Mus musculus: one gene and its partner. The protein of the gene in region 2 interacts with the protein of the main gene of each other region in a pairwise test. Links are inferred from orthologs where the notes say so. Each region holds a gene or a part of one and is shown on either strand. Other genes may lie near its edges.

Region 1 (2,969 bases), on a different chromosome or scaffold from region 2:
GTCCCTCCCTGAGCCCAGGCTGCCCAGGAAGGCCTGCTCTGTGCAGATGCAGGCTTAGTGCTACAGGCCTCTTGCTGAAGTCCTTCTCTGAGCTACAGATGTCCCACTTGCCTTTCCTCCACTTGTAGAAGCTATGACAGTGATTACCTCTGGGGGTGGGGAACTCTGTGTTTGAGGTATTTCTGTTTTCCATAATTAGCATAACATAACTTCTGTGGTTGAGAAAGAAACTCAGCAGAGTGGGGGTTTGTTGTTATTTTTAAGTATGTTAACAACTAAATGAATGAACAGGGAACAGAGGGAGAGACAAAGAAGCACGCGGCTTTATAAGCAGGATGCGGAGCGGGTGTGGATCAGGGTTGCATGCACAGGGAACCACCTATCCACAAGAGGTGATGACACACATTAACAGGCCTTCTAACTCCCTGTGGCAACTGTTGTCCCCAAGTAACACATGACAGGGGAACACAGGTCTGCCACCTAAAACTCGCAAGTACTCATTCAGCAGGATGCCTTTATTGAGAGATTTCTTAGTGTCAGGCTGCTGGGCACATGGGGACAGTGTAGGGCTATGGCTGTTAGAAGATCGGGGACTGCTGATGTCCTAGGAGTCTGGCATCCTGGGCTGAGCTAGGCAGGAGGGTTGATGCCAGTGACAGCTCTCAACCACTCAAGGGGCCTGCTGATGTCCATGGAGATGCAATGAGGCTGAAAGAGCTGTCTGGAAATGGGCAGCTACCAGGTCATTACTCAGGCACCCTGTGGCTGCTTGGGGCGCACACAGGAGGGTCACCACCATGGCTTCTTACGGGCAGGGTCTTGTGTCACAGACAAGGCCACAGAGCCTTGTGCTCGCTCCCACACATACCTGTGGGGACACAGATACATAAGAGTCAGGCAAGGCCAGAGCCCAAGGGTTCCAGGGAAAAGGGCATCATTGTCATGGCTTCAGAAAGTCCTGGCATATACTCACGAGGTTCCAGCAGGCACCAGCAGGCTGTCATCTGGGGCCAGGGCTATACACTGCCCTCCCATTGTCACCTTAGAGGAGCCCTCCTGTGAGAGAACAGCAGAACCAAGTGAAGGCTGATGAGGCTGAGCTCAAGGCCAGCCTGAGTGAATTAGCAAAACCCTGCATTGAAATAAGAAAAGTGTGTGTGTGTGTGTGTGTGTGTGTGTGTGTGTGTGTGTGTGCACATACATGAGTACATGCATGGTGGGTGTGGGAACGGGGAAGCAGGGGGTGTTCAATGGTAGAGCTCTTATAAGGAGGCCATAAGTTCCATCCCCAACACTACAAAACCACAGAAGAGGCTGGGGGCACATCAGGCCTCAACTCTCGCTTTCATGTCCCCGAGTCTGCCTCGCAAGAAGGCCCTGAGAGTAACTCTCACTATGGGAGCCTGAGGTCCAGGGACAAACCAACCCCCATGGACAGGAAATGGTGCCACCCAAACCTGGGATCCCACTTGCCTGTTGCCACAGCCACACATCCACATCCTGCCTTGGGCCTTTGCTGCTACCTTGTCCGTGGGCAATGACCTGGGGAAGACAAAGCAGAGCGTTTTGGGATTCTGCTCCATTTGGGAAATAGTCACAACCCTGGCCCTTAACCATTATCACCTTCGAGGGACAAGATGTGCCCACTTCCACAGCCTCCTCCCCATGTGACGAGCCTACTCGTCAGGGATCAGAAAGGGATCACACACACACACACACACACACACACACACACACACACGCCCTCATGGGTGTCACCAGCTCACACTCAGACACACCCAACCCGGGCCCCCAGATTTCCACTGCCCTTCCTGTGAAGTGTTCAACGTCTGACTGGGGAGAACATGAGGCTGGGGCCTGCTGGCCTTATGATTAGCGAGAGCCTGCGCTCCTGCAGGCTGTAAGGAGGGGTTAATGGCAATTGGCAAAGGAGAGCTAGAGCAGGTAGACACAGAGTAGGAAGAAGCCATTAGCTACGGCTGTGGTGGGTGGAGCTTTGGGCGTCCCTAGTACTGGAAGAGCAGTCTAAACCTGTGTTCTGCCAGCCTCCTGCCCTGGAGTGACCACTGTTTAACTTTTAAGTCTTCCTCCTCCTCTTCCTTGCCCTCTTCCCTCTTCTTCTTCTCCTCCTCCTCTTCTTCCTCCTCCTTCTTGTTCTTCTTGTTGCTGTTGTTGTCCTCCTCCTCCTCTTCCTTCTTCTCCTTCCTTTTCATCTTCTTTTTCATCATCATGATTATCTTCATCATTACCATCATCATTATATGTGAATGTATGATGTGTGTACATGTGGTCATACATGCATGACTTGTGGCATCAGCTCTCTTTCCACGTTTTTGTGGGTCTCAGTTATCAAACCTGGATTGCCAGGCTTATACAGTAAGCATCTCTGATAGTTTGTCTCTGCTTGGCCCAGGGAGTGGCACCATTAGGATGTGTGGCCTTGTTGGAGTAGGTGCATCACTATGGGCGTAGGCTTAAGACCCTCATCCTAGCTGCCTGAAAGCCAGTATTCTGCTAGCAACCTAGAACTCTCAGCTCTGCCTGCATCATGCCTGGATGTTGCCATGTTTCTGCCTTGATGGTAATGGACTGAAGCTCTGAACGTGTAAGCCAGCCCCCAGGTAAATGTCCTTTATAAGACTTGCATTGGCCATGGTGTCTGCTCACAGCAATAAAACCCTAAGATAGCACCTTGACCCAATGAGCCATCTCGCTGACTCCTGGTGACAGGCTGTGCCATTGGAAACCCATCACACATGCGAATAGCAGCATCCTTGTAGGTGTTCTCTGGCCCAACATCACAATGAAAGGCTGATGGCTCTGAAATTCACTCTAGACTTCTCCCCCAACATGTGGGCGAAGCCCCGATGTCTCTAGGACATGGCCCCTCCCTTAGTCTAGTGCAGCAGAGTTCTGGAAGCAGCTAGCAGTCCAGCCTCCTTGCTAGCCTTCCCACCTAGCTCTGGCCA
Region 2 (3,500 bases):
CTTTATGTACGCCTGGGGGTGAAGGTCAGAGGACAATTAATGGGGATCAGGTTTTTCTTCTCACCATGTGTGTTCTGGGATTCAAACTCTTGGTGGCAAACACCTCTACTGGCTAAGTCACCTTGTTGGTTCCATTAAGAAACTTTTAAAACAAATGTACCTATTGATGTTAACGACAAGTAGTGACTTTGGGCTTGCGTTTTGCATTTCATTTCTTAAACACATTCATGATAGGTGAAAGGAACAACCATCTAGTTCTTCACACATACTTTAAAAGACGCTATGATAGAATGCTTCTTCCCCGCCATATATCCTGGCCAAACCTGTCCCCAGTCCTCACAGGCAATTCACCTTCCATAGAACAGTGTGTCCCCGTCCAGCAATGGGCCAGCAGGCAAGTGTGGAAGCCATGGTTCTCAGCACATGCCCAGAGACTGTACTAGCTCTAACTACTCCCAAACTAGCTGAGCCTGAGTTTCAGAAGCCAGCATGGCTGATTAGCAGAGCAGCCTTCTGGCTGCTGATTGGGTTGGTGTTAATGAGAGCAGATGCACAAGGCTGGCCTGTGGATGGCTGAAGAGCCTGGGCAGAATCCAGAGCTGGCAAAGCAGGAACTTTCCCAAGAGGTGGAGCTGGAGGTCTCGCTCATGCAAAGGATTTCTACCCCAGGCTCTTTCCTCCACAACTTAGGGGCTGAACCTCCTGGAGACAATTCAGGAGGCCACTGTTAGACAAGATGAAGATGTAATTATGGAGACAGGCCATGTGATCATTACAGCAGTGCAAAATGACAGGGCTTTTTCTCTTATTGCAGTAAAGGCATTTATACGCTCAAAATGCCTATGATTACGTTGTGGGAGAATCAAATCCAGACTCTACGTTCAGACGAGATAACATAATGAGGAAGGAAACTAATCACCTGCCAGTCTTTTCTATATCAGACTAGACATTGCTGGAAAGCCTTAGTGTTTGGAGGGAAAATTAGTCCAAATCTTTACTATGGAAATCATTGAAATTAACAAGGAGTAGTAAATAGTAAGGACAGAGGCCATGCAAAGCTCTGACATCCAGATCACCTTTACTTGGCTGCCTTCTTCCCAGACCAACACAGTAGTTTTCTAACCTTCTTTCTATTTGTACTAAATAACTTTAGAGTTCTTAAGAATTATTATGGAGGACAGGCAATATGGCTCAGTGGGTAACGGTGCTTGCTGCCAAGCCTTATAGTCTGAGTTTGGTCTGGAATCTCATATGTTAAAAAGAGGAAACCAACTTCTGCAAGTTTCCCTCTGACCTCCATATGCACACTGAGGCACACACCATACACTCACATTCATAAACACTCAAACACACACTCATAAACACACACACTCATAAACACACTCACACACACTCATAAACACACACTCACACACATAAACACACACACACACACACACAGAGAGAGAGAGAGAGAGAGAGAGAGAGAAGAGAGAAGAGAGAAACAAATTTTGTAAAATTTAAGAAGAATTATTGTGGAAGTCCTTCTCTTGGCAAAATTTTTAGTAATAAGAGAATAATAAGAATAAGAACTTCCTGTGGTGATTCAAACTAAGGAGAAGGAACCAAAAAAGGTGAAAACTGACATACAAAGAGAGTTATCCCATTCACAAAGGAGATACCGTTAACTCAATCAGATACAGTTACATATGCAGTGAACTATCTGTGATCTATTACTGTCTCCCTGTCACTAGCCAGCCCGGGCTGGCCACAGTTCCCTGGCTAGCCATAGTTCCCAGGCTAGCCACAGTTCCCTGGCTAGCCACAGTTCCCAGGCTAGCCACAGTTCCCTGCTTCCTGGATTTCCTCTCCATACCTTTGCTTTCCACATCAGCCAGAACTTGAAGATGTCCACATGGCGGCCACACTGAATCGCCTTGTCCCCGGTGTCATAGGAGACGTCATACTGCTTGTCTGGCTGGAAGAGGTAGCCTGCACACATCTGGTTGCATCCTTGGAGTATACCCTGTCATAAAAATCAAGATGTGAACAACTGTCCTCACCAGTCAGAGATGTGGGTGTGAGGACGGGCCGGGGGCCCACGCCTCCTTTCCTCTGAGGCTTGCCATAGGTTCAGATGTCCTTTAAAGACACTCTTGGGAAAACCCCTGCCTTCTGCCTCCCCTGCCTCCCTTCTGCCACTCAGGTCAGAAAAAGTTCTTTTGTGTTGGATGTCTAAAACAAGGGCCTCACTGTCCCTCTAAGAGACATCTGGACATTTAAGTGGGGGAATTACTTTGTCATTCTTTGGGTGGGGCTTGGAGGATAAACCTCAGCAGGTGGGGAAGCTGGTGCTATGAAGAACTTCCTCTCCAAAGATATTACCCCCTAAGTCTTCCAGTTTATTTATGCAAGACCCCCAGTGATGTTAGGGTAAGTGGAGGAGAGCCAGTGTGGGCTCTGACTCCCAAAAGAGACACCTGAGGTGGGTACCTCTCTTGCAGTAGGTCTACGAAACATCAGTGCACTGGGTATATGTGGGGGTGGGGGTGGGGGTGGGGGTCGGGGTGGGGAGAAAAAACTCTGTCTGCAGCTCACTCACAGAAGCTCTTTTAGAAATCACATTTATTTCGTGTGTGTGAGGGTATTACATACACTCACATATGTATGTGTGAGATCAAAAGACACTTGAGGGAGTTTCCTCCTTCCTCTATGTGAATCTCAATGAAAGAACACAGAGCCTCAAACTTGGCAGCGAGTGCCTTGACTCACTGAGTCATTTTGTTGGCCCTACAAAACTCTGATCAGCAGCTCCTGCTGCCTACACTGGGATCTGGACTTCCTGTTCCATCTAACTTTTTCAGCTCTTGAGACTACAGTTATCCACTAAGAACCCAACGTATGCTCCGGTGAGCGAGGTTTGTTCTCACTGATGGGGATCAGCAACCACTCTCAGGTCTGTCCACACATGAAGAAATACCCAAAGAAGCTCATTGAAGAGTCTATCACCAGCAGGGCCCTAAGCACTGGACAAAGACAAAGGGCAGCCAAGAGCCAAGAGGAAAACCAGCATTAGCTGGGAGGGAGGGGAAGAAGCCTGCAGGCTTCCCGAGGGGCTGCTAACCCAGCGAGTACAAACCTTTTCCTTGACCAGAATGGCAGAGCACTGGAGCAGCACGCCCATCATCTTGTGAGGGTTCCAGGTGACTGAATTGGCCCTGGAAGACACACAGGGACCTCTGAGAAGATGGGAGGAAGGGAAAGAAGAGCCTATCCTGTTGAGGAAAACCCCATCGGCCCATCTCCATGGAAGTCACGGCTGCTTTCCTTGCCCAGTCTCCTAAATGGACCCTCAGCGGGAAGTGCATGCTTCAGGCAGTCTCCCAAGGTATTGCACTACAGAATGCTATATATAACTGCTATTAACAACAGCAGCCAGTTACTTCTTACATATCCTACTGTTCTCAGAGCTTTAGGGGTATATGATGGGAAATGGGACTAAGGTCTCTGGGGCTTTGCAG

What was found. The genes of interacting proteins can lie anywhere in the genome.
Region 1: the proteins of Gad1 (region 2) and Haao interact in a two-hybrid assay, tested with the Homo sapiens proteins (4 studies listed by BioGRID and IntAct). The two-hybrid records come from large-scale screens. The link is inferred for Mus musculus from reciprocal best matches to the Homo sapiens genes GAD1 and HAAO.

The regions. Positions count from the first base shown.
Region 1 is NC_000083.6:83,830,854-83,833,822, forward strand, and holds the end of Haao (3-hydroxyanthranilate 3,4-dioxygenase), read right to left. Parts: intron 1,543-2,969; coding exon 1,474-1,542; intron 1,057-1,473; coding exon 974-1,056; intron 869-973; coding exon 790-868; 3' UTR 501-789; downstream 1-500. UniProt on the Homo sapiens protein: Catalyzes the oxidative ring opening of 3-hydroxyanthranilate to 2-amino-3-carboxymuconate semialdehyde, which spontaneously cyclizes to quinolinate.
Region 2 is NC_000068.7:70,593,129-70,596,628, reverse strand, and holds part of Gad1 (glutamate decarboxylase 1), read right to left. Parts: intron 3,198-3,500; coding exon 3,119-3,197; intron 2,006-3,118; coding exon 1,856-2,005; intron 1-1,855.